Macaca fascicularis: one gene and its partners. The protein of the gene in region 1 interacts with the protein of each later gene in a pairwise test. Links are inferred from orthologs where the notes say so. Each region holds a gene or a part of one and is shown on either strand. Other genes may lie near its edges.

Region 1 (5,054 bases):
TCACTGACCTAGGGATGGAGCTGTCTCCATGGAAGGTGACTGAACAGAGGGCTGAGGAACTCTGAAGGAACGCAGACTGCTGGACAGCCCGCGTTGAAGCTTCAGACAGACCTATCTTCATGAGCCGGCTCCCTGGGCCCTTTCCCCTTGCCAGCTCTGTCATTAGACGTTTGCACACACCTGATTTGGATCTCCTGAAACCAGAACTCGGACAAGGCAGTGGAGTTTGGAAGTTGAGAGAGGGATCTGGAGTCGGAAGCCCCTGGTGTGAGTTTTACATCTGCCTCCTACCAGCGGTGGGAAAGTCACTTTAGTTCTTTGTACCTCAGTTTCCCCCATAGGAGGAGAGTGTACACCTCTTATGCTTAATGTGGGGATTAGGACGCATGAAACGGTGTCTGGCAGTCATTACGTCTAAGAGCAGCAAGTCCAGAAGTTAGCATGTCCCAGAACCAAACAAAACCCTTACTAAACGAAGTGCATCTTGAATAAAATCGACTGAATTTGATAGACACAGGTCTCAAACAAATTTCTGTTAAAAGAGCTCATCTCCTACTTTAATAATTTGCCCCTGAAAATTCAGTCTTTTATGTTACTGTAACAGAATAGCGCCTGTTCACCTACTCTCTCTGTCTTCAGGAGTTTCTGTTTTGAGTGAATACAGGATAAACAGGCAAATTAAGTGGTATTTATATTTTTCTCAGGAACAAATCTCCAATCACTAACAGTGGTGTTCAAGCAAGTAACATCAAAGAATGAGAACCCCACTGGAGGGAGAAAAGTGATGCTTTGGAGGTGCTCTGAGGGTTTAATTTAAAATAAAGAGAAGAGTCTCTTCAGCAGAGACAGGGCTGACACCTGACTAACAGGACCCACAGTCAGCCCCCAAGCAGGCAGGAGGGGCCCTGCAAGCTCAGCAGAGAAGAAACCTTTCCACCAGTTCCTTCAATGAAAAGAGGAATCTTTTATTATTGGAACCACACCCCACCTTTTCCCTCTTTCCTATATTTGGCAACATTGTTAAAATTCCAGATGTCCTCAAAGAGCTCTTTGCATTGGCAAGTAATCTCTCCGGAGACTTTAACAATCCTTCTTCCGTCCGGTGATCCCCAAACCTGGCTCCCCAACAGATCACATGAAAAGCATTAAAAAAAAAATCCCATGTCCAGGTCTTGCCCCATGCCAATTAAATCAGAATGTCTGGGGGCGGGATTCAGACACTGGTTTTTGTTTTGATTTTTTTTTTTAAATCCCAGGTAATTCTAACGTGCAGCAAGGTCTGGGAACCACTGTTCTATGTCTTGCCCCTCCCCCAACGACCGCGCTGGGCACCAAACCCCAACTCCCCATGCCAGTGACATCAACAGCAAGTACGGGCCTGGCTCTTGGAACCCGCGCAGCTCAAGGTTGGAATTGTGCAATTAAACCTTCCGAGGCATGTTTCCCGTGTCAAGTGGGTTTATGGTCAGTAGTCACGAAGCCAGACTCGCTCATGTTCTGTCTGGACACTTGGCACACTTGAACCAGGGACATCAATCCGGTGTGTGTGTGTGTGTGTGTGTGTGTGTGTAAGACAGGTTTAATATTTTGGTTGGCTCAATGTCAAATTCTTCAGACAGCAAAAAGAAACATCCAAGAAAGAAACTCTCCGGGTTTTGAGGAGAAAAGTTTGCTGTGAGCCCCATTTTGAAACACTGTGGTGCTGGCCAGGATGAGCTCTGCTTCCTGGGCTTCCGCACTAGAGGCCGCGATCCCCCCAGCAGTGGCCGGACAGCCGCGTCCCCCTCCACCGCGAAGCCCAGGCGCGACCGAAGGGCTGCAGGTGGGGCAGACCCGGACGTCCCCGCGAGGCGGCCACCGAACGAGAGCCCGGGCCTTTCTGCGCGGGCGCCCGGGAGGGAGCTCGGGTCCCCAGGAGGTGGGGGGCATACCTGGACCGGCAAGACGAGGGCGCGCCGAGTGAGGCGAGCGGCCGGGGTCTGCGCCCAAGGGGCGGGTCGGACCCCACCTGCCTTTTGCCAACGAGGAAGCTCACCGCCGCCAGCACCACCCCTTCCCAGGCGCCGCAGGTGGTGGCGGACTTCTCCCAGCTCCCAGGTTGAGGCTGCGACTCCACACCTGGGAACCAGGATCGCGGGGACCTGGAGAGGGGCCGGGGTCAGGCTGGCCGGCGCCGGCTTCAGTTTGAGACCTGCGCGGAGCGCGGAGGCAGGGAGGTTCGCTCAGGAAGCCGCCTGTCCCGCGGGGTCCGAAGGGAGGCTTTATTTTCGGGGTCCTTCCTCAGCTTCCCTAAACAGCGCAGCCTCGGCGGGTGGGCAGCGCCAGTCCCTCGGGTGCGCGCCGCGACCCCGCCGCGCCCTGGGAAGACAGCGCGGGGCGCACGTGCGGGACCCCGGCCCCAGGCACCCACCCGCACGGGGCTTTCGCCCACTGACGCCGATTCCGCGCAGCGGGGCGGGGAAAGTGAGGGTGGAAAGTTGGGAGCGGTTCGGGGCGCCGGAGGTCCAGGCGGCCGTTTCCCCGCCGGCCCGCAGCCCAGTGCCCCACGCGTCTCCTCCCCCGCCCGCCCCAGACTCTCCTGGCCCAAGAACGAAACGTCCCGTTCCTCCCGCGGTCCCGGCCGGCGGCGCAGCTGATCTCAAGGAAACAGGAAAGGACGGGCGGGGGCGCGGGCGCCGAGCCGGTGCGCCGGTGCGCGGCTGGGCTGGCTGCGGGGTCCGGGGCGCGATCCGGGGGCAGCGCGGGAGCCGGCGAGACACGCCCTTACCTTTCTTTTCCTCCAGAGCCCGACTCGCGGGGCAGAGCGCAGCCAGCAGCGCCAGGAGCGCGGCCCCGGCCGTCCCGGAGGGTCGCATAGCTGCTTCCCGAAGAGCAAGCTCCGGCTCTCCGGATCAATAGTGGACGGAGTCAGGCGGCCGTGCGCGGTGGTTGTGGCGTTAGCGGCGAGGCGGGGACTCGGGCGGACGCCGACGAGGTGGCCTGTCGTCCAGTCTGGGCGGCGGCGGCCGCCGGGGCTAGCTCGGGACTCCGGCCGCTTTGGCCGCGGCGGGCGCGCACACCGTGCCGGGGGCGGAGGCTGCTGCGGCCGCGCTGCGCCGGGGGCTGCCCGGACGTCTAGCTCGCGCGGGCCGGGGCGCGGGGAGGCAGGGCGGGAGGAGGAGGGACCAGGCGGCGGAGGAGGGATCGGGAGGAGCAGAGGAGGAGGAGAATGAGAGGAGGAGGGAGGAGAACCAGCCGCGGGGACCCAAGGCCAGCGGCCGCCGGAGGCGGTGGACAGCGGTGACCCCCGCGGGACCTGGTCTCCCGCGGGAAGGGGGTGGCGCGCGGGAGGGGAGCGGGTGCCCTGAGGAGTTAATTTCCGTGAGGGGCGTTCCCAGCACTGCCCCTCTGGACTGGGTCCCCGCAGACTTGCAGGCCCAGCCTATGTCGAGGTCGAGCCAAATCTGTGCCAGGGTCCCCTTCCCCCTTTCCCTTCTTTTGTTTTACAGAACAAACTTCTACCAGCTTTAGACAGACTGGCCGAGCCCTAGAGCCAGCGTCGAATAATGGCACCGACGGGGAAACTGCTCCTTTATTCTGGTCCTCACCTCCCCTGCAGCACCCAGGGACCCTCGCGGGGATCAGAGGCTGGCCTGGCAGCTGAGGAGGTCGCTGTGCCCGCGCTGCAGGGGTGCCAGGCGTCCGAGGTGGTGCTCTAAAGTCCGAGGGTCCTTCAGATCCCGTGAAGCACCCTAGAAATCGTCTGAAATGAGGGCACCCAACTTTGGGCGCAGAGACAGGCCTCCTCAATGTTTACTGCAACCGGCCGTGGGTACTTTGAAGCCAATGTGTGAAGCACGTTACTTCGCAAAAGTGAGGCTCTTGGAATAAAGGCTTGACACAAACAGCTGTGGAGATGCTTTTAGAGAGGCTAAGTGTCCCACTGCACCGGTAGCTCCCGCAGGAGAAATGCCAGGGAAGTTCGCGAAAGTTTGGCCGAAAGAAACTGAGCTGCTTTAGGCTGCAGGAACTTGAGCTACATTCCTTTGGCAAGTCCACCCCATCCCCACTGTTGCTTCTCCTGCAGTAAGAATGTCCTCTAGGTCCATGTTACAGTCAGACCCCTCCTCTCTTCACGAGATTCACTAGGACCTTCAGGCCTGGTTCAACAACCCTGATCTCCCGGCTCTGTCAAAAATCATAATCCTGAAGTAAGTAGAGCTACAGATCTGCCCTTTGCTGTCTCTGAAGGGGAGCAACCTTGCATCTTTCCTCCGCATCCAGCGAAGTGTTTGTGCCTGGGTTTCACACCCTGCAGCCTGAACGGTGGGTTTTTCACCAGGGCAAGCGCAGACAGACACAAGGCTCCTCACCACCCGTACAACCTGGAACTTCCCTGTGAATTAGAAGAAGTAATTTGTTCCTTTGTTTTAGCGGATCAGTACAGCCACTGTGCGTTGAAGTCAGTCCCTGGATGCAGAGATGGTGAAGGCTCTGCAGGCACGTGTGTGCTTCCTGCACACCTGGGCTGAGAGCAGTCCCTATAGAAACACAGAGACAGAAAACAAAACTAGAGAAAGGCAAATGCGAAGCACAGCAGTGGAACATAAAATGAAGACAGGAGTGAGTCTTACAATAAAAGACCTAAATATGATAAACTCTTGTGCATTCACTTAACAACTGCCGCAAATTTGTTTCTAAACTATATTTTCTGTCAAGGGAATGTGACCTGTGTGCACAAGTCACAACACAAATCAATTTAAGCTACAACTGATTTGTAAGACTGCACAGGAATTTCTCCTTTGAGTGACCAAAAAACAAACAAAAAAAACCAGTATGTTAGAACATCAGTTCTCACTACGTTAGGACTATATGAGACAACAGTCTTCATAGTACGGCTTGTATATTCTTCAATGTGATCTGATGGCATCACAAGAAACAGAGCTTTTTGTAAAGAATTACTAGACACACACACAGCTCAATACTGGGATGGATTCCAGGGAACAGAGAAGAATGGGTTTGCTGAACATCCTCCTGGGACATCTATGTAAAGTTCGCGTTTCTCCTTTGAACTT
Region 2 (4,952 bases), on another chromosome or scaffold:
CTCTTACAGATCATTTTCAAGGCCATCTCTGGATGCCATCTCCTAAGCAAAATCTGATATATAAAATGAAAAGGGAAAGTGGTTAACTCAAACCTCAAAAAAGATGTTAAGGGAGAGACTGTCACTTCCTTCAACAGATTCGGGAAAGTTAATTATTTTAACCTCTTTTCTAGTGAATATTAATGGAACTTCTAACACAACATACACACAGCACTTTATGAAACAAAAATGCCCAAAACTAAGTTAGTGCATGCGGAAAGCCTAAAGCACACCCAGCAGAGCTTTGAAATATAAAAAGCATAGTGAGTTCCTTCCCACGAGGAATACATATATAATCGGCATATGTATATCTATATTTAAAACTTATCCTAAAGTGTCACACTTCTCCTGCACTGGCAGTCCCAAGCCAGTGAAACAGACAGGTAACTGACAGATGGCCCTGTCTTGCATCTCTTGTCTCTGACTTCTCCCCACTCTTGAGACAGCATTCACTTTCAGGACCTACCCATCTGGCCAGCCCGGGCCCTAGGGGCAAGGCGAAAAAAGAGGAAAAGCTCCAGGAACTCACATTTCGGTGATGTTCTCAGGATCTACACTGTTAGGTTCCAACCTTGGAAATGCCACGATGCCAGGAGAAGGGTCGCTGCACCAGATCCGAGAGGCACTGCATTTGCAGGACGTGGGACAAGCGAGAGCGGCCCTCCAGAAACCCACAACCAGCCAGCAGAAGCCCCAAAGCCGCGCCATGGCGGGTCCATGCCACCTTATCCAGGACGACATCCCTAGCAGCCAGTGCCAGCCCGAGTGAGTGTCCCCACGCTGCACCGGCCGGTTTCCCCGACCTGTGCGGGGAGGCCTTCCCCGCGCTTGCGGCTCTCTTGACTCCTCGGTGCTTGCTTGCTGCGGGCGCGCGGAGTCCAGCGTATCACAGGCTGAGCTGGTCCGGAGCGGAGCGTATTCCGGCAGGCGGCAGGGTTCACAGTGGCCCCGGCATCGTGAACCGCTTTACAGGGGGGTGCTACCGCCGCTCGGAGCTCCGCCGCGGCCGTTGCTGCATGGCCCGGGGCGCCGGGCACCGACCGGCGGCGCTCCCGGGACTCTCTGGGGTGCAGGCTCCTTATTAGACGCGAATGGGGGTCCGGTATGCACCTCGAGGCTGAGGACAAACAGATACGCGTAAGACTGAGTGTAGGACCCCCAACACCACTAATTGGAGCACTCTCCCTCTGCGCTCGCATCATCCCCACCCCGATCCCAGCCGGGAGACTGTGGATGGATGAGTGCCCAGCTCCAGCCCAGGAATCAACTTGCCCCGCGATGGCACTGACGCCGCTGGAGCCACCAGTGTGCCCACTCTCTCTTCGAGCCTGAGGCCAAGGGAGGGGAGGTAGGGAAAGGGTCCCCGAGACAGGATTCCATGGTACAGGCCGGGCGAAGGACCCTTTAAAGGGGAATGCGGAGACTGCCGGCAGCTTTGGCTCCGCGACGGGGGCCCCGAATGATGCTGCAGAATCCGCCACAGCCGCTGGGTGCCGGTGGCGCGGGCAGGTGGCGCGGCACGTCCCACCTGGGGAGTAGCCGAGGCCGCCCCAGGGGGAGACAGGGAGGGCCGAGGCGACCGAGGGCACTGTCTGCGCTGCTCACCCGGGCTCCGGCGCCTCACGCCCGCCGGCGGCGCCTGGGTCCAGGATCCTGCTGCCGCCGGGGACTGAGCGCGTAGAGCGCGAGCGAAGCAACCAGCGAGGCTCCTGCTCCAACCCAATTCCGGGAGCCGCCGCCGCCGCCTCTGCTACTGCTGGCGAAGTGACGTGAGGGCTGACGCAGAGCAGGGGCAGAAACTCCAGAAAATTAGTCTGAAATCCAAAAACACACACGCGCTCATACACACACAAACCCATAACACCCTCCAGACAAAAGCACCAGGGAGGGGAGGGGAATCTGGGGGCGAGCAGGGAGGAGGGAGGCATCAGTGCCACTGGCCAGAAGCAGACAGCAGCAGCATGTGGGAGTGCACACACGCGCGCACACACGCACGCACACACGCACACATCCTGGCCGTGTAGACACGCGCGCGCGTGCCTCTGTGTGTGTGTGTGTGTGTGAATTTACATCCAGGTACCTCTGAGATGAACCGTTCCTCCGTTTGACGCCTCCCGGTCCCTAATTCACACCACAGTCTCTTCTACAATCGCGGTAGAGGCTGGCTCGCTTTTTGAAATGGAAACCGTGCTTGGTTCAGCTCTGAAAAATGCGCTGATTCTTATTATAGGAATCCTCCCTCCCTTCTCCCTCCCCGCGTTCTCCTTTCCCACCCTGCCTAAAAGGGAGGGCAAGCTATCCTAAAAATAAATAAATGTTGTAAACACCAAAACGTGTTCTGCATTGGTAACCAAGGATCACCGCCCCCATTCCGGGCCACCTATTTGGGGATCGGTGGTTTTGGAGGGGCTTCCTGTTGGTGCTTTTGCAGAGGGAAGGGAGTCTCCAAACACAATTCTAGCTCTCTAAGTGGGTCTTTTTCCTGCCGTTTTCTGCCATCACACGCCCGGGAAATAGAGACATGTGAGGGGAAGGGAGCGCGCCTGATGCGTATTCTAAATGCTCGGTGGCCACCCTGGCCTGTCCGATGTGTGGCGCCGCGTCATTTTCTCTCATCCTTTAACCTGTCGGGATGTAGCCATTCCCATATCGTAGCTTCACTCCCCGCGATGCCCACCCCATGCAGGGCATCCCAAGCCCTTGCTCCCCTGCCGTACCTTGCGCGTGTTCATGTGTGCGCGGGTGTGCGCGAACGCGTGCCCTGCGCCCGCGCTGCCCGGAGCACGATATGCATCCAGCTACGAAGAAGCCAGGCGCGGGCAGAGCCTCGGGGTCTCACTAGGGACAAATTAGGCGATCCGGGAGGGTCGGGTGACAAACCGTAATTGTTCTGCGGGCGCAGTTAAATGACGGCTGCGGGGCATTCGCAAGCCTTGTCTGAGAATCCGTCTTCCCTTTTGCGGCTCGGAATCTGTTTTTCCGCAGTCATTTAAAAGCGAACTGGGAAAATGCACCGCAGTGCCTGACACTTCCGAGGGCTCTGGTGCCCCCGCGCGGGGAGAGAGCGCCCGGCACGCTCCGGAGCACCAGCCCACCGCCACGGTCGCGGCGGGCACAGCGCTGGGGGCGCGCTCTGGCGCCAGATGCGCAACCAGCGGCGCCCGACGCCTGCGCGTCCCTGCCCGGCCAGTGAGCGGCTTGCCTGGCCTCGCCGAGGTCCGGCCCGGGGAAAAAGGCGGCCAATCCTCCGCTCCAGAGAGAGCAATGGGTTGGAGTCTCGTTCAAAATATAGTAACAGTCACTGATCTACCCGCAGAGGCTGGGGATGGGAAGGATCGAGAAACCGAACCTTAGAGTGAATGCTCGGATCTAGGCCAAGCATTAAATATTACGAAGGGAACGTAAAACATCTAGTGGGGCTTTTTTGTACAGATCCTGGGCGCTGAGTGTTACCGCGGGAATTCTTGGACAGCACCCAAAAATCTTGCTGCAGGTCCCGAAGGCAAGGCTAGCAGGTCTGTCTCACCACTGTCGCTCGGCTGTAACACACTTTGAGTGGTGAACGGCCAGGCTGAAGTTTACTCCTCAGCAGGGCCTCTCTCGATTTTCTGCTAGGTGAGGACGTGCCAAGGAAGAGAAGCAAGGGCAAAAATGACCTGGTCTCAGACGCACGTAAAACTCCGCCTGTCTTGTCAGTGCCCCTTAAGTGGAGAAGCCCCTGAGGAACACTTGGGGAAGGAAGGAGTGTGTGTGTGCATAATCACCCACATCTCTCTCACACTCCCATACTCTCAGCCCATTTTCCTAAGAAAGGGCCCATTTGCGCCCTAGTGGCTGCAGCATGTCTCAATGCGGTATGGAGAATAGGCAGTTTTACGGTGGTTTGTACACCACAAGATTCCAATTATGTTGGAATATCTGTAGAATTTCTATTAGAGTAAATATATGCTACTATTATAGTTGAATTCTAAATATATTCCACTGACTGTCTCCCACTTAAAATTAGGATTTGCGGTCCTACTTCTAATCACCCTACTTCTGCTCTACTATTTCAACCATAGCAGTTTGTCTTTTGGACAGATCATTTACTTATCATATATATATTTTAAATTTCTCCCAGTAGAATGTACACTCCATGAAGGCAGGGATTTTTGTCTATTTTGTTCATTGATATATCTCAAGGACATAGTAGGTGTTAAAATATATGTGTATTTTTAATGAATAAATAAAATAAAGTTGAGATCTTACTTTCTTAACCTCTAATTCTGCAAGAACCTGGATTATTCCCCCAGACACGCTCCTTCTCACCTTCAAAATTTCAAATCTTCCTTGTGTTCCGAGTGCTCATAGCACTGCTTAAAACCTTGCCTTACTTTCTGCCTCATTTAGTAGCCAGATATGCTTCAGCACCAGGCCAGAGAGGGCCTCCCACTTACTCATGCTGTTAACTCAACACCTCCAAGGACAGTGTCTAGAACACATTGGCGATCAGTAGTTATTTCTTAACTGATAGAATTGTGGATCTATCTCGATTTTAAGACCTATAAGATATGTCCCAGAGATCACTTCAAGGATTCTCAGATCACGACTTTGTAAGAGATGATGAACATTTTTCAGATGAACAATATAGAGATGATTTTTTTCCAGATCCCTTCAATGCAGGCATAGAAACAAAGTGTTGCAGGCTCCTACCTGCACTGAACCATGATGTACCTAGAGCAATGTTTCTCAAACTCTTTTGACCGTGATCCACAATAAGAAATGCCTTTTATATCACAACCCAATGAACACATACATAAAGGCATGTACTAACAAAAAAAGAAGTGTCACAATACAAAACTTCCTTACCCTTAGTACATAGAATAAACTAATATATCCTCTTCTACACCATTTCATTCTTGAATGCATGTAAT
Region 3 (4,937 bases), about 73 Mb from region 1:
GTTGTGCTATCAGGCCGGGCGCAGTGGCTCATACCTGTAATCCCTGCACTTTGGGAGGCCGAGGCGGGTGGATCACGACGTCAGGAGTTCAAGACCAGCCTGGCCGATATGGTGAAACTCCATCTCTACTAAAGATACAGAAATTAGCCGGGCCTAGTGGTACGCACCTATAGTCCCAGCTACTCAGGAGGCTGAGGCAGAAGAATTCCTTGAACCTGGGAGGCGGAGGTTGCAATGAGCTGAGATCGCACCACTGCACTCCAGCCTGGGCAACAGAGCGAGATTCCGTCTCAAAAAAAAAAAAAAAAACAACAGTGCTATCAAACTTCACAGATAGTAAAACGAACGGTAGGAACGCATCTCCCTGACCCTTGGGGAAATACACGTTTGCAGGGTTGGAGGGTCAGAGGAGACATGGGCTGGGGGTTCCTGCATCCTCTCCGCTCCGACTTGTTCCGATCTGATTTGACCTGTCTTTGTCCCTGGATTTCCTGGAGCCTCTGTGATCCAAGAACAGCGTTCCAGCCCGCACCTGAATGGCTCTTCTCTCCAGTTCTTTATCATGTTCCTACGAAGCAGAGATGAGTCCATCTTGATGCTCTGGGTTTTGGCTTAGAAGGTGGATGCCTAGTTTGTAATCATCCCTTGAGCCTTCAGTTCCCTCCCACTTCCTCTTCCTTCCAACCTCGTCCCCCACCGGCATCGTCCATCGCTTCCTGTGTACCTCCGAGTCACTTTGATGTGAGCGTGTCTCCTCTAAGAAGCATAAAGTGGGTTTTATTCCCTGACCCCAGCACAGGCAGGAGCAAGCTCTGATGCAAAGTTCTAATGGGTCTGTGGGGCCTCTGGCTTCTCAGGCAGTCTCATCTTAGGGTTTTACGGGGTTGCAAAAAGGAAGCCTGACCCTGCTGATTCCTCTCCCAGCATAGGCTCTGCCCTCTCTCTGCTGTCTCACTTTAAAGTTTCTTTTCTTTTCTTTTTTTTTTTTTTTTTTTTTTTTTGAGACAGAGTCTCGCTTAGTCGCCCAGGCTGGAGTGCAGTGGCGCGATCTCGGCTCACTGCAAGCTCCGCCTCCCGGGTTCACGCCATTCTCCTGCCTCAGCCTCCCGAGTAGCTGGGACTACAGGCGCCCGCCACCGCGCCCGGCTAATTTTTTTGCATTTTTAGTAGAGACGGGGTTTCACAGTGTTAGCCAGGATGGTCTCGATCTCCTGACCTTGTGATCCGCCCGCCTCAGCCTCCCAAAGTGCTGGGATTACAGGCGTGAGCCACCGCGTCCGGCCTTCTTTTCTTTTTTGAGACAGAGCCTCCTTCTGTCACCCAAGCTGGAGTTCAGTAGTGCCATTAAGCTCACTGCAGCCTCCCCATCCTGGGCTCCAGTGATCCTCCCGCCTCAGCCTCCCGAGTAGCTAGGACTAGAGATGCATACCACCATGTATGGCTAGCTTATTTTCTATTTTTATTTTTCGTAGAGATAGGGGTCTCACTATGTTGCCCAGGCTGCTCTCAAACTCCTGGCCTCAAGTGATCCTCCTGCCTTGGCCTCCCAAAACACTGGGATTGCAGGCATCAGCCACCACGCCGGCCTGTTCGTTTCCCGTGTTTGCTCCTGTTCTCCTGTCTTTGACTTCTGTGAAAGGGTGCGTGTGATTTGGCCTGGATCTGCTGCAGGTCTCTTCCGACGCCGCTTTTGTGTCTCAGAGCCGGAATGTTCAGAGCTTTGCTCGCCGTGAAGTAGGGTTCATCTGGTGCCCGGGAGGGAAGGGCGCCCGGCCCCCGAGGGGTTCTCCGGGGAAAGATGACCCCATCCCCCGGGTCCCGCCCCTCAGCCCCCCGCTTCCCCTGTGCAGGGGACTTGGTGACAGATACCACTTCCTGCAGCTGGGCTGGGGTTGCACCAGCACTTCCCTCTCGGGCAGGGTTGAGGTCAAGGGCGACTCTGATGCAAGGTTCTGAGAGGCCCGTGGGGCTGTGGATTCCTGAGCAGCCTCAGCTTTGGGTTTTGCACCTTAGGTCTTGGTAAGGGGACCCGCCTGCCCTTAGACATGGGAAGTCCAGGAGCTGGAGGACGAGGAGGGCGCCCGCCCCCAGTGTGGGGCAGCAGGGAGGGCAGCAGGGTCATCAGGCTCCAGGCTGGAGCTCTGGGGCCTGCTCGGGGGGGGGTGCGGGACGGGGGGTTCTGTGCTCTTCCTCCCTGCTTGCCCTGCAGCTCTGTCGGCTTAGCTTCAGGGCACCAGAGGTGACAGTGGCCAGGTACCTGCCTGTTTGCCTGAATGCTGTCCTACATCTGTGCCTTACCCATTCCCGTCCCCCAGGGAGCTGGCACAGGCCCTTCGACCACCTCCAGGCACACGGAGGAAACGGACGCAGAGAGGCCAGATGCGGTCTTGGTTTCTTAGGCCTCAGGTGAGGCCCTGGACCTCCGTGGGCCATCCTGGCTACTGGGTGGAGGGGCTGCCCTGCCCTGTTCTCCCACAGAAGGGAGGCCGGCTGCCAGGCTCAGTGCACTGCCTTACCTCCCGGAGCCGACCTTCGTCCCCAGCTGTTTGTCTGGGCTCAGCCACTGGCATCGGGGGGTGGGGCAGGGCCTGGCTTCTCTTATGCCCCCAGCTCCGAGCCCCCCAGGGCTGTTCATGGAGGAGCAACAGTGGGGAGAGGTTGGCTCCCCGCCCGCCCCCTTGCTGTGGTCATGGTCAGGGCACTGTGGTCTCTGAGCCAATCCTGCTGGAATCAATGTGCACCCCATCTCCCTAGGGGCAGGGGTTTTGCTCAGGGTAACTGGGCTCCAGGTCCATATCTTGCTGCTGCTGGGGGCCTCAATTTCCCCATCTGAGGGTACAAAGTGTTTGCATGCCGCTGGTCATGACTGTGTTAGGGGCGGAGATATCAAGTCTGCGGCCCCAGGGAAAGCGTGGAGCTGGGGTGTGGGTCCTTACCAGCCTGGCTGAGGCTGCCGGGGGAAGGCTGCACCCCCTCCCCACTTGGCACAGCTGCGAACTGGGGGTGTCCTGAGGCCAGCTGGACCCTGCACCCTGGGGTGGCTCCAGCATGCACAGGGTCTCCGGTCAGCTGAGGGGTTGGTGGGCACTCATGGCACCGAGGTCTGTCCAGGCGCGGGACTTTGGGGGGGCGCAGATGGAGAGCTGGAACTGGCCTTGGCCTGAACCACAACCCCCAAGGATCAGAGACACAGGGGCTTTCAGACACAGGGTAGGCCCGGTGTGAACCCAAACCACCTCCTCCAGGAAGTTAGAGCAGGTGCAGGTTCTGTTTTTGACCCCAGAATGGGAAGGATCAAGGGTTCCCTTTTGACATTTTGGAATTCTGACTGTAATTTTGCTGGGAACCAGGAAACGAGGTCACCTCCAAAACGACAGGACCTTGGGGCTGGTTGGGGCCTCTAAGCTGTGGGATGCTCAGATGGGCCCGGGTGGGTGTTCCGTCGGCCTCAGAGCCCCCGGCACAGGTGCAGGGGTTTTGGGGGATGGAGGGGAACCAGGGCCTGTGGCTGAGGGCACCCAAGCCTCCCCGGCCACAGCACAGCACCCAGCACTGTCTTCAAAGTGAGCAGGCCCTAGTTTGGGGTTCTGCTGGCTTGGGTCTGCCCACTGAACCTTGGGTGACCCTGCCAGCACCACCCGAGGGCAGTGGGTGGGACAGAAACGCCCCAGACGCCTGGGAGGCCGCGAGAGGAACCGGCGTTTGCTGGGGGAGGTGTGTTCATCTTTGCTTCTGATAACAGCCCCAGGGTAACAGAAGCGTCTTCCTGCCCACTATGGCAGGAAGGCTCCTGGGTACCCCTTCTCAGAACCTCTCCACCTCTTGGTGCCAGATAAAAGGGTCCCAGCGAGGACCCAACGTTCTCAGGTCCTGGAGGTCAGACCCAGAGGCCCACCCCACCTAGGAAGCCCTAAGACCTCCCAAGGAGCCGACCTAGGGCTGCTTTGGGCACCTCCAGGATGGAGGGAAGGGAGCCCAGGCTGAGGCCTGGTTCTGTCATTTTGCCTCTGGGGCCGAGGGCCTGTGAGTGACCACAGAGCTGCCCCAGCTGTGGATGACTGGGTTAAGGACGGGGTGGGTGTGTATCTGGAAACAAAAGGGCAAGAGCCCGGCAGCTGGTGGCTTGGGCAAGTCAGGTGACTTTTTTTCCCACCTGGCAGGGACCGCAAGGCTCCTGGGCAGGCCTTGCACACAGCCTGGCACTCGCGGACATCAAGCCAGCTTTCTCTTCCTGGCCCTGTTTCTGCCACAGAGAGACAGGGCAAGCCCGGCTCTGCTCCAAGCACAGGCTCTGCTCACGGAGGACTTGGGGTGCACAGGGGCAGAGTGCACACACCGGGTGTGTGGGGTTGTGGTGTGCGTGTGCGTGCACATTTGCACGTGTGTATGGTATGTGTGTGTGGTGTGTGTGCCTGTGTGGTGTGTGCGTGTGTGTACGTGTGCATGTATATTTGTGTGTGGTGTGTAGTGTCTTGTGGGGAGTACGGTGTGGGTAAGGGGTGTATACATCTCTCTGTGTACATATGTGTGGCGTGACACATACATGTGTATGTGTGGTGTGTGCGTGCATGTGGTGTGTACATGCGGTTAGGCATGCATCTGTATGCGTGTACACGTGCATGTGTGGTGTGTGGTGTGTGGTGTGTGTATTGTCTGCATGTGTGTGTGCCTGTGTTGTGTGTCTCTGCAGGGACCTGCTGCAGCTGTCCTGGGTGCCTGGCTGCTGAGCAGGTGTGCTGCCCGCACTGCTGGGCCCGACCTCCCTCCCTCCCTGGCTATTGGAAGCTGGGCCCAGCGCAGCTGTGCTGGCCTGACTCTAACCCACCCCTGCAGGGGGGACAGGAACCCAGCTCCTTGTCCCAGGCCAGCTGGAGGCGGGCTTTGTGGGTGGTCAGCCCCAGGGGCTGGGCCTGAGACCGTCACCAAAACCCCTTCCC
Region 4 (5,261 bases), on another chromosome or scaffold:
TTTTGTATTTTTAGTAGAGACGGGGTTTCACCATCTTGGCAAGGCTGGTCTCGAACTCCTGACCTCGTGATCCACCCGCCTTGGCCTCTCAAAGTGCTGGGATTACAAGTGTGAGCCACTACGCCCGGCCTACTTTATCCAGTTTTCTTTTTTTTTTTTTTTTGAGACGGAGTCTCGCTCTGTCGCCCAGGCTGGAGTGCAGTGGCGCTATCTCGGCTCACTGCAAGCTCCGCCTCCCGGGTTTACGCCATTCTCCTGCCTCAGCCTCCCGAGTAGCTGGGACTACAGGCGCCCGCCACCTCGCCCGGCTAATTTTTTTGTATTTTTAGTAGAGACGGGGTTTCATTGTGTTAGCCAGGATGGTCTCGATCTCCTGACCTCGTGATCCGCCCGTCTCGGCCTCCCAAAGTGCTGGGATTACAGGCTTGAGCCACCGCGCCCGGCCTCTTTATCCAGTTTTCAAAGGAGGGAAGTGAGACTCAGAGAAGAGAAGTGACGGCACAAAGTCACCAGAGTACGTTAGGGAACCTAGATTTAAAAGCAGGTTTTAGAAATCAGCATTGTGCAAGGCATACTAGCTGTGAGGTAGGACTTGATGGTCTAGTTTCTCAATGTGGTCCTCAGTGCCTGGTTTGCAACCAACTGAGGAGTTTCTTACAGATCCAGGCTTCCAGGCCCCACCCACATCTACTGAATAGGAATCTCTTAGGCTAGATTTCAGGAATTTTTATTTTTCAGAAGCTTTCCTAGTGATGCTTATGCACATTAAAGTTTGAGCACAGGTGCACACACACACAAAAATGCTCTGGCATCCAGAGCAGGGAGGAGATAGCTCTAAGGGGCCTTCATGGAGAAGGCAGCATGGAGTTTGTCTCTGAAGGCTGGAGAGACTGGGGAGGAGGGGCCCCATATCTGGCTCCTCTGATAAGAGGATTCAAGCTTGGGCCTTTCACTATCTCTCTGCATTGTGGTCATCATTGTCCTTCCTCATCAATCTTTCCAATGTTCTCTTCAGCCTCCTCCCAAAACTTCAACAGCCTTTTCTCTGACTTTGCTTAATATAATTTTCTGCAATCTGGGAACAGGGAGATGGTGCCCACACAGAGATGGATTAGCATTTAAAGGACACACACATACAGGGCAGACAAGTAGAGGGCACTCAGTCACAGGCAGACAGGAAGGGGCAGAGATGAGTAAACAAGAAAAGGGTACAAAATGACAAGCGGACAGGGAAGGACAGGCGCACAGCAGATCATTACAAGCAGACATAAATGGGCTGGAAAAGGACACCTATAAACATGGATGGAAAGGAAGAGACAGATGTAACAAGGTCACACCCAAAGCCATAAGAGACAAAACTCACAGACGTAAAGGAATGCAAAGGACCCCTGCAAATGGATAGATGGGAGGCACACCCAGGTAGGACGGACTCAAGTGATTCCTCAGAACGGTAGCCCTTTACCCCACTGAGCTGAGAAGGGATTAACTTCAAGTACCTGGCCGGGGCTGCCAGGGCCTTGCCCATCTTTGTCTCACTGGTTGCTGCAGAGGGAGGCCAGGCCCCAGGCTCCAGGGTAAGGTGTGCTCCTGGATGTGCACCCCAATCCTGGTGAGGGAGATCACCTCCTCCTTCTTACATCACATTTATTTCAAATCTTAGATACTTATTATTAGGCCTGCAGCCTCGCTTCTTTCTGGCTTGCAGCCCAATTTCGTACGGGTCCCTTGGGCCCTTGCTCTTTTTGGGATGTTTTATTCTAATTCCCAGCCCCAGCCGACGGGGAAGCGTCACCAGTTCATTTACAGATCACTTTCCCTTTAAGCAATTTTCCCTAATCCGCCAGCTTCCCAGACTCCCTTTCGTTCCCGACATCACTTGCAGTCTCTAAGAGCACCACATCTCCCAGAAATCTTAGTGGCCAAGGGGCTACCCTAGGGAACTTCAAGTACCGAAATGCTCTCTTATCCGGCTCGGTGACTGCCGTGGTGACCGGTGGGGCTTGTAGTCACCTCGGAATTGTTAGGGGACGAAAAAAACTACTCACCCCAAGTGTCCCTGCGTCAGAGGCGGGTTTCTCTTCTGTCTCTCTCTGCTCTCGCCTAAATCCTTCCTCGGACTTCAACTCCCGCCGTGTCTTGCGCTGAGATCCCTGCGACAAAGAATCGGGCTGTGTCCAAAGTGTTCTCTGGGAGTTGTAGTTCCTCTATTGGTGAGGCAAGGAGGAGGCGGAGTGACTCGGCGGCCATTAGCTGTGTGTAGTTGCCCGGGACTAGGAGCTTAAGTGAAGAGGGACGCCTTATTCGGTGGAAATCAGCCGTAGCCATGAGCTTCTGCCGCGGCTTGCCCTAGAGTACGGAGCAGGCGGACTTTTCGATTCCCCGCCCCGCCAGGTGGCGGGGCCTACTAGGCCTCCGGGCATCCCCGGTCTCAAGTAGGCCTCATCTGCCGGCAAGGGCGCCCCAAACGCGGGAGGCGCCATGTCGCTGGTTGCTTACGCCAGCAGCGATGAGAGCGAGCCGGATGAGGCTGAGCCCGAGCCGGAGGAAGAGGAGGCGGTGGCCCCTACATCTGGGCCCGCTTTAGGGGGCTTGTTCGCTTCTCTCCCTGCGCCCAAGGGCCCGGCCTTGCTGCCTCCGCCCCCTCAGATGCTGGCCCCAGCGTTTCCCCCGCCGCTGTTGCTTCCCCCACCCACCGCAGACCCCAGGCTTCAGCCTCCTCCCCCCTTGCCCTTCGGCCTGGGAGGCTTCCCCCCACCTCCAGGCGTGAGCCCGGCTGAAGCGGCGGGAGTTGGGGAGGGACTGGGATTGGGGTTGCCCTCGCCCCGAGGCCCTGGCCTCAGTCTGCCCCCTCCAATTGGCGGTGCCGGCCCCCCGCTGGGGCTTCCCAAGCCAAAGAAGAGGAAAGAGCCCGTGAAGATCGCGGCGCCGGAGTTGCATAAGGGAGATGTGAGTATCCGGGGAAGGCACCCCCAAACTGTCCATCGGGTTTGAGTCGGCGGTAGGAGGGACATGTGGCGATTTCGGAACTCCTTCCCACAAACACATCCGTGGATTCAAGGCCACTGGAATCCTCTTATAATGTGATTAATTGAGCTGAAGTTGGTCAACTTCGGGGAGTTTGGGTGTTTGCCCATGTGGGTTTCCTGAAGCTGGGCTTGCCTGCAGAAGGTCACATGTCATCATCACCTGGTACTGACAGGCCTAGGGACACTTGGATCCGCTCCCCCTCTGCATCTTCACCTCAGTCCAGCTTTTTCCCCTTTCCTCCTACTGAGAACAGGATGAAATCTGGCACCTGAGGAATGACAGGAGACAGGGCTCCTGAACCTTTGCCGAACATCTGGGACAAATCTTTTCCTTGCCTCTGAACTCAAAAACATCAGGCCTGGAGGAGAATGATAGTAATCTTGGATTCTATTTTTGAGGGGAGTTAGAGGAGAAATCGAATGTTTGTTGAGTGCAGATCGTTTGCCGTTCATTGGTCCTTTCTTTCAATTATTACAGAGCTCTGGGAGGTAACATACTATTGTTTTACAGATGAGAAACAGGTGTCCAGCATGCACGATTTTACCTGGCAAAGGGCAGAGTGAAGATTAAGGTTCAGTCTCTCTGAACCTCAGATCTGTGCCTCATTTTCACCATTTAGCCATGGTCAAAGCTAGGTGAATTAGGATGCTTGGGTACTGTTTCTAGAAGAGGCAGTGAGTCTTACCTGTTTCTGTATGTGACAATGGAAAAATACAAGGCTTCTTCTGGAGTGAGGGCTTTGGAGATAAAGGAGAGATTAAGCCTGGGAGCAGGAACTGCTTAGAATTACTTACCAGAGAGAAATTTATTGCCTTTGCTTTTCTTCAGACTCCCAGCTCTGCCTAGGAGCCATCTTCATTCTTTGAACCTGCTGTTCCTTAAATTTCTTCCCTCAGATATCCTAATGTTCTCTCCCTCACCTCACTTGGCCTAAAAGGCCTGTTTTCTGTGAGGACTTCCCTAGCCTGTTATTTAAATTGCAGCCTCCTATAACCTCCTTCTCCCCATTGCTCTTTGTTTTATTTTTCTCCATTGCACTTAACATTATCTATCCTCCCACTAGTATATAAACTCCATGAAGACAGGGATTAACAAAAAAAGTTCACTGCTATAATCCTAGTACTTACAACAGTGCCTGGCACATACTGAATACTCCCATGGATGTTTTATGAGTGAAAGAACTCCAACATGGATTCTTCATGGAAGGAGGTTGCAGAGTTTCCCTCCCTATCTTGTTGGAAACTTTCTTCCTTTTTTTTTTTTTTGAGACAGAGTCTCCTTCTGTCGCCCAGGCTGGAGTGCAGTGGCGCCATCTCGGCTCACTGCAAGCTCCGCCTCCCGGGTTCACTCCATTCTCCTGCCTCAGCCTCCCCAGTAGCTGGGACTACAAGCGCCTGCGGCCACACCCGGCTAATTTTTTTCTATTTTTATTAGAGACGGGGTTTCACTGTGTTAGCCAGGATGGTCTCGATCTCCCAACCTCGTGATCCACCCGCCTTGGCCTCCTAAAGTGCTGGGATTACAGGTGTGAGCCACCGCGCCTGGTCACTTTCTTCCATTTTATTTCCCGCTTCTTGCACACCTGAGAGTCTGTCATCCTAAGTCTAGGATCCAAAAAAAAGCCTTTTATTGCTCCATGGAAACTTACCTTGGCTTTGATTTAACCTGGAACATGGAAAGATCCCTGAATGAGACAAATAAAAACAGTCTACACGGACATGGAAAGGCTCATTTCTAGCGCTGTGAAGGCAGCATTATAGAAAGTTGGGAGAGGATGTAGAATCTGCCATTTAGGTTGGCTGAGGTGGCAGAAAACTCTGAAGACTCCTAACACTCCCTCCTTTGTAAGCATTCACTAAATTTCTGAAGTGAACAGTGACATGGCTAATTAAAGTCCTAGCCCGTGCTGGTTGAGTTTCCCATTTTTGTTCTGTTCAAGTTGGTCTTTTTGTTCTTGGAACACGTAATTCCTGCAGAAAGGTAGCCTAAGAATGTTCAAGATGGTCAGGTGAGGGTAACCTTTGTCTTTATTTATCTTTTGAGATGTAGTTTCGCTCATTGCCCAGGCTGGAGTGCAATGGCACAATCTCGGCTCACCGCAACCTCCACCTCCAGGGTTCAAGCGATTCTCCTGCCTCAGCCTCCCGAGTAGAGTACCTGGGATTACAGGCGTGCGCCACCACGCCCAGCTAATTTTGTATTTTTGGTAGAGACTGGGGTTTCTCCTTGTTGGT

What was found. The genes of interacting proteins can lie anywhere in the genome.
Region 2: the proteins of EGFR (region 1) and NTRK2 interact in a protein complementation assay, tested with the Homo sapiens proteins (3 studies listed by BioGRID and IntAct, with this or other methods). The link is inferred for Macaca fascicularis from reciprocal best matches to the Homo sapiens genes EGFR and NTRK2.
Region 3: the proteins of EGFR (region 1) and ITGB2 interact in a protein complementation assay, tested with the Homo sapiens proteins (3 studies listed by BioGRID and IntAct, with this or other methods). The link is inferred for Macaca fascicularis from reciprocal best matches to the Homo sapiens genes EGFR and ITGB2.
Region 4: the proteins of EGFR (region 1) and PRCC interact in a protein complementation assay, tested with the Homo sapiens proteins (2 studies listed by BioGRID and IntAct). The link is inferred for Macaca fascicularis from reciprocal best matches to the Homo sapiens genes EGFR and PRCC.

Annotation. Positions count from the first base shown.
Region 1 is NC_088377.1:75,385,895-75,390,948, forward strand, and holds the start of EGFR (epidermal growth factor receptor), read right to left. Parts: upstream 3,117-5,054; 5' UTR 2,856-3,116; coding exon 2,768-2,855; intron 2,541-2,767; exon of another isoform or gene 1,932-2,540; intron 1-1,931. UniProt on the Homo sapiens protein: Receptor tyrosine kinase binding ligands of the EGF family and activating several signaling cascades to convert extracellular cues into appropriate cellular responses.
Region 2 is NC_088389.1:115,291,074-115,296,025, reverse strand, and holds the start of NTRK2 (BDNF/NT-3 growth factors receptor), read right to left. Parts: upstream 3,021-4,952; 5' UTR 2,757-3,020; intron 2,242-2,756; exon of another isoform or gene 2,209-2,241; 5' UTR 2,120-2,208; intron 1,767-2,119; exon of another isoform or gene 1,312-1,766; intron 1,157-1,311; 5' UTR 781-1,156; coding exon 569-780; intron 1-568. UniProt on the Homo sapiens protein: Receptor tyrosine kinase involved in the development and the maturation of the central and the peripheral nervous systems through regulation of neuron survival, proliferation, migration, differentiation, and synapse formation and plasticity.
Region 3 is NC_088377.1:2,130,465-2,135,401, forward strand, and holds the start of ITGB2 (integrin beta-2), read left to right. Parts: upstream 1-1,917; 5' UTR 1,918-1,942; coding exon 1,943-2,019; intron 2,020-2,315; coding exon 2,316-2,406; intron 2,407-4,180; exon of another isoform or gene 4,181-4,339; intron 4,340-4,937.
Region 4 is NC_088375.1:104,305,545-104,310,805, reverse strand, and holds the start of PRCC (proline-rich protein PRCC), read left to right. Parts: upstream 1-2,241; 5' UTR 2,242-2,478; coding exon 2,479-2,946; intron 2,947-5,261. UniProt on the Homo sapiens protein: May regulate cell cycle progression through interaction with MAD2L2.